2 linked regions of the Arabidopsis thaliana genome follow. The protein of the gene in region 2 interacts with the protein of the main gene of each other region in a pairwise test. Each region holds a gene or a part of one and is shown on either strand. Other genes may lie near its edges. The genes, in order: FER and ROPGEF1.

Region 1 (5,874 bases), on a different chromosome or scaffold from region 2:
CACGAAATGGTAAAGTTAGTACACATACGTTTTCAAGCCCAATGTTGTATCCACACAGCATCAGATCTTCTTCTTCGGGTCTAAGAAAACCGTGTGGTAGTAGTGAAGGCAGCTGCAGCAGCAGCAACCATGAAGAGGAAGATGGAAGAAGCTTAACGAAAGAAGGGAACAACACAGAGAACAAGAACGATAGTGCTCGTTACGACGCACTCTTGAATGTTAAAGATGTCAAGGATACAAACTGGCTACTTAACATTGATGATGAATCTCCTCAATCTCTCATCTTCGACAATGCTTTTGACTCTCCTCCTGATCTATTCTCTCCTCTCTGAGACTCTGACTCCTTTTGAGTTTTCTTTCCTGTTTGTTGTAGTTAAAAACAAGAGAGCTGCTTGGAAAAATAATCCTGTTTCACTCTTTTTAAATTCTTATGCAATCAAGAGAAAAACATTACACATAGTTCTTCTACTCGTTGTTTTTTTCTTTCAAAGTGTTTGTTTGTATTGATCAGCAGAAATATACAACTTTGACCCTTCTTGTTTAAATCAAAATATTTGCAAGAAAAGACACTATTGGTAGGATTCCGTTAAAATGCGTCTATATAGTAAAACAGAGAAGTGATTGATGTACTTCCGTTTATGTTCATAAGAGTACGACTTTGTAATAAATGGGTACTAGTTTGTTCATAAGAGTACGACGTGTAATAGAGTAAAGATGCAACAATTACCAAAAACGTTATAGATAACAAACCAAATAGTACATTGACGCGATTCATGTTTAATGTTTTTGTAGAAAGAAGAAAAAAAAATACATTATTTTTTACACTCTCCATCGTGGCATCAAATACACAAATCCAAAATTCTAAATAAATAACAGCAAAGAGAATAATAATAAATAGTTAAGAGGAAAAAAAATATAAAAAAGAGAAACGAACCGGTCTCCTTTGGATGGAGCCGGTTTAGAAAGGTAGTAGTGTTGTACCGTGTTATAAGACTTCTCTAACGTCCCTTTGGATTCATGATCTGAGAAAACACAGCACTTGGAGTGAGTCCATCTGAATCTTCGCTGGCCAAACTCCTACCACCGATGCTCATATCTATTCCACTGCTCCTCGAGTCCGTCACATTCCCTTCATACACATCAGAACTCTTGTCGTTCTTTCCTTTACAGTTTCCATCATCGTACTTAATCTCATCCATGTCCATGTCACCGCATACTCCTTTTCCGTTCTCTTCTGCGCTTTCCTGGAGCTGCAACGCAAATTCTAAGTTCCACAGAACATCTCCCATTGATGGTCTCTCAATGCCCTGGTCTAGAACACACTTCATCGCGGTTTCAGCAAACTTTTTGAAGCATTCTGGTGTGATCTTGCCCTTGAGGTAGGGATCAACGATTTGATCTAGCATGCCTTTCTTGTAGCAGTATGGTGCCCACTCAGCTAAGCTCACTTGTTCCTTTGCAAGTGTTGGGTTCAAGGCTGGACGAGCGCATAGAGCTTCGAATAGAACAACGCCAAAGGAGTAGACATCGGATTTCTCAGTCAGTTGCTGCCGTCTGAAATACTCTGGGTCAAGATAACCGAAACTTCCTTTCACAACTGTGCTTACGTGTGTGTGGTCTAGTGTAGGACCAGTCTTCGATAGACCAAAATCAGAGACCTTGGCCACCCATTTCTCATCCAATAGAATGTTTGTTGTCTTCACATCTCTATGGATGATTGTGTGTTTTGCACCAGTGTGTAGATAGTGTAAACCTCGGGCTGCTCCAATGCATATCTCAAGACGTTGCTTCCATGGAAGAGAAGGATTCTGGGTTTTGTAGAGATGCTCCCTCATTGTACCATGAGCCATGTAATCATAGACTAAGATCATTTCGCAGTTCTCTTCACAGTATCCAATCAAGGACACAAGATGACGATGTCTAAGCTTTGAAAGCATTTCAATCTCAGTCTGGAACTCATGTACACCTTGCTCGGACATTGGGTTGCCTCTCTTGATGGCTACCTTTGTAGTTCCGCCATCAATCTCTCCTCTGTAAACCTTGCCGAAACCACCAACACCAAGCACCCGGGACTCATCAAAGTTTTTAGTGGCAGCTTTGATCTCAGCAAACGAGAAGTGACGGCAAAGATTTGACGGAAGGGACGAGGCATAACTTCCTGTTGTGTTTGTCTTCGCCGAGCCAGCAGAATGTGAGTTTCCATACAGAGATAGTGGAAGCCACCCTGATGTTGCATCACTAGCAGGCTGGTAATCACCACGCTTACGTCTGCGGTAAGCACCAAACACACAAAACCCAATGATAAGGGCCAGAACAACTGCACCACTGGCTGCGCCTGCAATAATAGCCGTATTGCTTTTCGATTTCCTAGTAGTCGGGCGTAGGACTTTAGATGGATCAGCAGTCACCTGTGGACCAGGTATAGGATTGGTACCAGCCAGATTACCATCAGAAGTATTCATCTTGAATATCTCCACTCCATTAAGAAGAGAATCATAATACTCCGGCTTGTTAACTGGGTTAGGATGAAGAGCAAGCCACAAATCTTGCTGTCCATTTCCCTCTGGAGGATTCACCACGTAATCCTTGTGAAACGGAACCCCGTTTGAACTAGTCCAAGCAATCACATCAGCTTCAGGCTCAGCAGTTTGATTGTTGAGGTAGATTGTAAACACCCGTTGGTTGATCTTAGTGATATTCGAAGAAACCTCACAGAAATGAAGTCTAACAAGGTAAGTGAAACCAGAGTCAATGCTGAAAATCCAAGTAAGATTGTAGTTGAGATTGATCTGAGCTGTTGGACCCATAGACCTCGCGGTTGAATAAACATCCACAGGAGCAACATAAGTAGGAGTCCCCGTAGGATACTTAATCGTCATGTTGGGATCAGCAGTCTCTGGAATACCAAGTCCTGCACCAAATATATAAGGCTGATCATCATACCACGACCTATACAAACCCGTATCCGCGGAAGGCGAGATATCATTCCCTCCAACATTGAGCCTATACACATTCTCAAGAGCAGTACTGTTATCAATAGTAACAGAGCCAGATGATCCAACCATAGTCAAAGTCCCATCAGTACTACTATACATATCAGGCATTGAAGTAACCTCAATCCCATTAACAAACGCATACGCATTAGACGGAGCTGATTCCGGTGTAAACGTCATGTTCAACGTTCCACCTTCAACGTTGACAACAAACTCCTTGATGATGAAAGCGTAAGTCAACGCCTCCGCCGTCTGAGAAGCACTGAAATTCTTGAGAAGAGTGTAAGGACCAAAGGAGACGGAGAATAACGAGTTGGTAGCGTTGAGACCGTCGTACGAGTTTGGGTAGAAGTAGAGACGCACGAATTTACGACCTGATGCTACAGGGAAAGTGTAAGTGAAAGGAGATCGGAAAACTCTCGCCGTCATGTAAGGAACTTCGGGAACGGAAGGATCTTGTGTTAACGCTGGTGATGTTTTAGAGTCTTCAGAGGAAGATGATAAGAATTTTGATTTGACATCGGAGATCCATATACGGTTATCTGTGTCGGTTAGATTAGAAGCACCACCACCGCAATTCAATAGGATTTTCTCTGTTGGAGAGTAATCAGCAGCTGAGATTAAAGTTGCTGCAGATATGAGAAGAAGAAGAAGAAGAAGAGAGAGACGGAATCGTCCCTCTGTGATCTTCATCGATCAAGAGCACTTCTCCGGGAAGATCTTCTTCTCAGATCTATCAAACGAAAGAAAATCGAAACTATAAACTTCACAGATCTAAAAATGGAAAGTGCTAGAGGTACATGTTCGTTTGGTTACGAAAATTGAGCTTAAGAAACAGATGAAATTGAAGTTTGAATACAGTAGTAAGGGAGAGTGAAGTGAGGAAGATGATGATGATGATTACATACCTGAAGAATCGGGGAAGAAACCCTAAGCGATGAAATCGGAGAGAGTTTTTGGAGAAGACAGAGATATTTTGGGGGAGAGAGAGAGAAAATCAATTAATGAGTGGAGAGGTAAGTATAGTCAAGACGACGACAAAACGGACAAGCATTGTTGCTTCCCTCTACGCGTTAACGTTATTTTAATTTCAATAAGATTAAATTAAGATATAGTTATCGGGTTTAATTAATTGAAGCCGGCTTGAAGGTGGGTGAAGTGACGATAATGACCTTTGAGTATCAACAGCTGGAATTATATATGTCTTGACCATTCGAAGGATAATGTTGATTGGTATGGTTTGGATGACAGTTCATAAAATGTGAGAGAGTAAATCCATTAAACTAAAGAAAAGACAAGAGAATTTTATGAAACGCGTATTTTTGTGTGCGGTGGTGACTGCTCGTGGCTGAGCTGGTACTCTATATTATACTATAAAGGGAAAGAATGGGGCCTGCTTTGATAATAACTCGTTAGTTAGTTAGGATAGTTTACGTAATCATGGGCTTTTTACTCTGATTTCAGTTTATCTCCTATGGCCCAGTTATAAGTGGGCCTTATCTAACGTGCACATGATATATGTTTATGACAATCGGCGTAGCCTCCTTTTGATCGATCATGTCTAAGGTAAGGAGTAACCTTGATCTCCGATGTCAAATCCAAGTAACCTTGAATACAAATAAACCGTGGTTAAGGCCGAACGTGTGCAATTTTTTTGGTCTACACCTTCTTGATTCAAAACAGAGTTTGTGATCCTTGTTTTCTCAGTCTTTCAAAATAAAATAAAACTTTAAACCATTACATCAAACATGCACTAAATATTTACATTAACATATCATTAATTCTCTTTCAGACAACACATTTTTTTTTGTTTATGCCAATTTTAAATAATAAAAATTACATTTCAAACATACATGTTTCTGCTACTTCGCATTTGGGCACGCATGAGACGAGTCACATACATACACTCTTCCCAGTTCCCACTCTTAACTTTTCTTCACTCTAGGCAAACACAACCACCAAACCTACCAACTCGCTTAAATCGAAGCTTACCAATCACACTTGAAAGCTTCGGAGAATGATTCTTACTTAAACTCATATCCTTACTTGCATTTGTTACACTCAGACTCGCCGCACCAGTTGCAGCTGTTATAACACAAACATCACATTCTGTCACCATGCAATTACCGCCTAAGACCTTGTTTCTTCCATTTACTGCTTGGAATTCAAATTCAACGTGATCAGCCATTATATTTGGTTTGTTTCCCTCACCACCACCTCGATGCATTTCGGCATCCTCATAAAACACAAACATGTGATCCCTTTGAACCTCAGGAGCTTCTCTCGGAGCCCAACACCTAAACACTTTCTCTGCTTTACCAGTGACCACCCTTTTCTTTGTCTTCCATCTGCTTACGCACCTAACGCCAAGCCCAGCGTTGTTGTGACTATCATCCGAAAACGATACTACAACGAAGATAGCAAACCCCAAGAGTGTCTTTCGCAGGGAAGGAGTTATCTCTATCGTTGCAAATGAACCTGCCCGCAAATTATAAGAGGTTGCCTGATCTGCTCCTGCAGGCCCGCAAATGCTGAATGCAAGTGCTTTGATGAGTTCCTGGTCCCAACAAGAAAAAGGAAAATTACATATACGCTAAAGTATGTATGAGTGAGAAAGAAGGGACATGAGAACGAGAGAGTTACCTGCTGATGTTCGTTGCCAATGCTTGCTACTTTAGCCAGGCCTTTTACAACTCGTTTTCTAGCCACTTTTGGAGACTTATTGAAGCAATCGCTGAAGGTGTAATGACTAGGAAACTGCTCAAATCCCCAAGAAACTGACTCTAGAGACACACAACCATGCACGTTCAACAGTTTCAGGCTTTGGGGAAGCGCCGGAAGCAATATGAGGTTTCTACAATGTCTTAATCTAAGGCTATGT
Region 2 (5,228 bases):
TCTTCTTCCTGATCGTCATTGTAATCCTTAGGTTGTGCTATGCTGCTTCCCACAGGAGCCAAATGCTACAAAATCAAACATGAGAAACAAAAATTAGATGTCTCAGAAAGCTGAATTACAAGGTCAGGCACGGTGAAAAATTGTGGAGTCCCAAGTACTAAACAACAGTAGAAGGTGCTTAAAATCTAGAAGAAGGCAACAAAAGGAAGATGGAAACCTAAAAAGCACGCACTAGAGGATTGGATTGGCTTACGGGTCCGTGAGAACGATGACGAGCGACGGGGAAGGAAAGAAGGGAGGGCCTTGGGGGAAGCGGCTTGCTTGGAGGCTTATTCTCCGATATTCCTTTCTCCACGATGCTCCCGACAAGGCTCGCCAAGACGTTGTTCGGCTGTTCCGGATTGACTCTCCCGCTACTTTGCTCCATCACTCTAAACCCTCTCTCGCCTCCGCTCAGCAAAACGGAAAACTCTTTAAAACTCCGTGTCGTCCCGATAGCTTATAAGAACAAGTAAAAAATAACAAGAAAACCCCTTTCTGACTTTTTAATTATAAAATTGGAACATCAACTTTAATCCTGTGCAAAACAAACCATATAGTCATAGTCTATATTTGAACCAAAAGTTGTCGCTTTAGTGCAATGAAGAACATGATTAAATCACTCAAGAGACGGGTATGTGATGTTCATTCAGTTTTAGGACTTGGACCATAATCTTTGTAAACTTGGTAAATGAGCTAAGGAATTGATTTGTTAACAACATTTCAAAACTCCACATAAGATAACATTCTTGTTGCTATTACCACATTCGTCTTCGTAGTCAGACAAACAAGAAACAACTACAGTCTCTACAACCATTGATTTACATTCTTCTATTTTCAATCTTAATCTCTTTCCGGCGTCACTCCCGTTACTCTTCTTGAACTCAGATTCCCTGCATACGACCATGCTTTCTCTGTTTCTCCCACTATTCCCTTCTCTCTCGTCCCATTCCTCTTCACTGAATACAGCGGCGGTGCTCTCCTCGGGCTTCTTGATGCTACACTTAGGGCAGGCGTTGCAAATGGTGAACCGTGCGGAGAGCTCTGCACAGAGAACGCTTTTTGAGGGTTGAGTCCATTGATGCTGAATAGGGATAGCGATTCTGTGACAGAGATGGATCTTCTCATGGCATCATCAACATAAAGCACATCATCTATTCTGGCCGTGATGTTGAAGGCCATGCTCTCCATCACCCTAGAGTAACTCTCCAGAATTGATTGCCCTACATCCTGCAAGAACACACACAAACTCTTAAATTATCTAAGCATCGTTTCATGATGCAACCAGCAAAGCACACTCCAAACTATAATGTACCTTGTTGTACTGAATCTTGTTCATGTCCAGCGTTGTCTGGGGAAGTCCCGGGAAACGGATCCTGAGACTCTGCAAGAGGGTCTCGGCTCTCTGCACAAGGAAATCATTTCTTTCGTTGTCATTAACAAGGCCTTTAACCTTGCCACCCCAAGAAGACAGCTTTAGTTTCGCCTGCTTCTTGTGCCTCCTCCCATTCTTTTGTCTCCAAACATGCACAGCCGCCTCAATCCGGTTGGCGATTTCAAGAGTCTGATGTTCCGATGAGAGATCAAGACAGTCCAGGAGGCATTCGGGAGAGAACTTGTTTGCAGTTAAGTACTGGTAGATGATCTCTCCAAGACATTCCTTCCCGCTCTGCATTAAGTTTAAAATCATAACTCAATGAGCTAATCACATATAACGGTAAAAGAATTTATGCTCCAGCAGCAATGAAAAAGCTAATCCTTGAGCTCGAGAAGGCGCATACCTTGGGCAAAGTCTCCAAGTAAGGGTCGGGAATCTCCATTTCGGCAAGCACGCCACTGTTAATTGCCAATGCAGCCTTGAGAATCTGGTTAGCAAAGTCCCGACACTGCTGCAGTTTCTTCCTGGCCTCTTCTGACAAACCGTTAGGCGGAACCTTAGGGCAAGGCAGCCACCACTTGTCCTCCTGCCTAACGGAAGCTGGAGAATTGTAAGAATCCTTGTCACAATCACCAAGAACTATGCCGCGATCAGTGTACCAGAACTCAGTATCGGAGAAAGCGTCAAGCATATCGATCAACATAGCATCGAGCTTCTTGAGAGCAGGGAGATTGGCATAGAGATCAGAACGTGGACGGGTCTCCATGATCTCATAAGTTCCGCCTCCAGGGAACTGCTGAATGGAAGGAATGAGCTCAACGATAGAATCGCTAACACAGAGCAGCCACTCAAGTTCTCTGCGCCACATGGCCTTCTTCTGAGGAGCAAGAGGCTCAAGCCTCCATAGTTCGCCAAACACAGTCGCTGTGTGGACACTAGCCTTATTAAAAAACTAGAAACCCCTACTATATATACCAACTAACAAAAAGGGAAGAAGATTGAGATGGTACCAGAGAGATTGGTGATGGCGTTGGAGATAGCAAGCGCCGTACAAACCCCTTTACCTCCACCAGACATGTCTTCCCCGAGAAGTAGCTTAGCAAATCTCTCCTTCATCATCTCAATTTCTGAAACCCAATAGGAAACAAAAGGGAAATTGAATCCTAGTGTTCATCAATGTTTACAAAAGAGGTCAAATTTGGAAACTTTTATACCGGATAAATCGTTGTCTGGTTGTTTGTCATCCCAGACCACATCTTTGCCGCCGATCACCGGAAGCATGACTGGGGCCGGGAAGTAAAATCCTCTACCAGCGACAACTCGAGGGGAAGAAGGGATGGAGCTAGAGGCACCCTCGCCGTCGAAGCGGTGGCAGGAGAAGCTGCTGGAACTCTCGGACTCGCTAATGTCGGCGCTGGGACTGTAACTTCCGCATCTCTCGGAAGAGACTTCGTCGTCTTCCTCAGAAGATAAGCTCCCCATTATTGAAGCGGCAGAGATCTAATAACGGCTCAAAGAGTCCACATTTGGGTTAAGAGACAGACAGAGAAAGGAAGAAGAAGGAAGTGGATGTGATGATGATGCTTGTTTGATAAAAAGCAAAGCTCAGAGAGAAAGAGAGAGAGAGATGAGAGATAACAAATAAAAAAGACTCCTTTCATTTCCTCACTCACACTCTCTCTCTTCTTTTCTCTCCCATCCATCCATACTCACGGCGTTATCCTCTGCCGTTAGGGACAGGTATGAGGTTGGTAACAGATAAACCGTTAACTCACGGTCGTCACATTTTTTAACGGCGAGATTAAATTATATCCCACGGCCGTTCTCATAAGAGGAGCATGCGCTTGTGTTATATCAACCGTTGGATATTAAAAGTGAACCATCAGGATCTTTTCTACAGAGCAGAATTGAGAATCTCGAAGCGACCGAGAAAATAAAGAAAGGCTGACATTGTGTGGACTAGAAGTATTCCTTGTCGGATCATCAGACTCTCTCGTACCACACCGGCCTGAACTACGTTGCACCATATCTATCCTCGTGATTTTACGCCACGTGTATTACGCCCATTCGCCTGATCTACACTGTCCATAGTATTCTGGCGTCATTAAAGTATTCACATCGTACGGTCTAGATTGCGTTTGGCTTACTTATTTCGTGGATTCCGCTGTTTTCGGTTATGGTTTTTTCACGCAACGAATCTAAGCCGTTGATTATATTACTCTTCTTAATTCAATTCATTAAAGTACCTATTTAATGCCCTTTGAATTCGGGTTAATATAGTAATCTACAATATTAATGTCACTGATCACTAGAATATGCTATGGATTGGTGTTGATTCACATGCATGGCTTAATTAGTTGACTCTCTGCTCTTTTTTTTTCTTCTCTAAAAGGCTTTTAACCTTCCAAATAAACGTTTGTTTGTCTTGGCATTATTAGCAAATCTTTTCCATTGCCATGTTTTTCATTCGATTGACAGCCTTGTAATTTGTAATTGCAAGGTCAACAAAAACTTTGACCAAATAGAACAACTTTCTATACCAATAAACATTCTACATCTACCGGTGGATAATAATTTAAATTTTTATTTCATCGTTAAAGTCTGTTTATTCGAAATTAATGTTTCTAATATGTTATGTATGGTTTTTTTTTTTTTTTAATTTACTCTCTCTCTTCAAACTATACTATTTTGCTTGGTGATATGGTAGAGTTACTTGGTTGATTCATATGAAAACATTGCATTTGCCTACAAAAATTAACTTCAAACTTAGCAATAACCGTTACAAAACAGTAAAATTTTCATCAAATTTGGGTATACATTACAATTTTTGAAGTATATATAATAATTGTGCAACATATATCTAGCTATTGAAATTATAAAGAATAAAGAACTCAATATAATAAAATACATATCCCTAAATCAGCCATTGACGATTGGTCTGAGTAGAGTCATTAAGGAGTGGTGTGTTTATTGGAGGCTCGGCCACACAACAAAGCATTCTTAGGCAAAAGATATTCATCTCTAAGAGAGTGTGTTGGAGAATAAACTCGAAGGTAGAATTGTTGACCCAAGTATTGCCTCGCCCAATATTCACTCCTTAGATTCCACATCCCCACATTGTCCAGTGCCACATATACGGCTGTCCAAGATTCTGGATATACCTACAACAACCAAATACTAGTTTTGAGATGATTTTTTAAAATTTTTGGTAAGATATATGGAGTTAGAAACTATTTGTACCTGAGTGGTGGAGCGAGAAATAGCATCCCTAAGATTATACTCTCGTCTGCTTGCTTTTGACCATGTTCCTCTATCCGTCCTGTGGACAGTACTCACAAACATCAGATGCATGCAATGCATTATTACTAGCTACTATATATAGAGGACGATAGATATAGCTAATCTTTAATTATTCTCACCCAACAACCCAAAAACTATATCCATCGAGGTGGTAGCTTTGGACGATCTTCTCGCGGTTTTGAAATATGATTTCAAGGAAGTCTCTATGGTGTGCTCCCATCACTGACGTCTCCATTCTCATCCCTCTTCCTCTTCTCGGCTTGTCAGGTATGCTTCCCATTTTGAAAACGCCTTTGATCTTGAAGTAATCCGCAAGCTTTAGCGGAGTATCTCCAGGTACAAACGACACTCCGTTTATGGCGTAGCGTTGCTTCCTCTTCACTAGTGCCGCTGAGCTTTCCAATATCAAAGTCCTAGAAATCTTGATTCGACCATAGTGGTACGAACCCTGAGGGTTAGGCCTTGGCCCAGACGCGGTTAGATTGGTCCTAATGGACCGGGCTTGTTTGAT

Evidence for each region.
Region 1: the proteins of ROPGEF1 (region 2) and FER interact in binary tests that used the Arabidopsis thaliana proteins (3 or more experiments, as listed by UniProt).

What each region holds. Positions count from the first base shown.
Region 1 is NC_003074.8:19,116,879-19,122,752, forward strand, and holds FER (Malectin/receptor-like protein kinase family protein), read right to left. Parts: upstream 4,072-5,874; 5' UTR 3,902-4,071; intron 3,727-3,901; 5' UTR 3,687-3,726; coding exon 999-3,686; 3' UTR 706-998; downstream 1-705. Other genes in the region: AT3G51540 (mucin-5AC-like protein), read left to right, coding at 1-332; AT3G51560 (Disease resistance protein (TIR-NBS-LRR class) family), read right to left, coding at 4,930-5,550, 5,637-5,874. UniProt on the Arabidopsis thaliana protein: Receptor-like protein kinase that mediates the female control of male gamete delivery during fertilization, including growth cessation of compatible pollen tubes ensuring a reproductive isolation barriers, by regulating MLO7 subcellular polarization upon pollen tube perception in the female gametophyte synergids.
Region 2 is NC_003075.7:17,984,314-17,989,541, reverse strand, and holds ROPGEF1 (rho guanyl-nucleotide exchange factor 1), read right to left. Parts: upstream 3,159-5,228; 5' UTR 2,900-3,158; coding exon 2,632-2,899; intron 2,545-2,631; coding exon 2,428-2,544; intron 2,342-2,427; coding exon 1,821-2,341; intron 1,709-1,820; coding exon 1,355-1,708; intron 1,270-1,354; coding exon 883-1,269; 3' UTR 673-882; downstream 1-672. Other genes in the region: IYO (RPAP1-like, carboxy-terminal protein), read right to left, coding at 1-65, 254-427; sks9 (SKU5 similar 9), read right to left, coding at 4,369-4,578, 4,658-4,736, 4,837-5,228. UniProt on the Arabidopsis thaliana protein: Guanine-nucleotide exchange factor (GEF) that acts as an activator of Rop (Rho of plants) GTPases by promoting the exchange of GDP for GTP. Acts downstream of PRK2 in the control of polarized pollen tube growth by activating ARAC11/ROP1.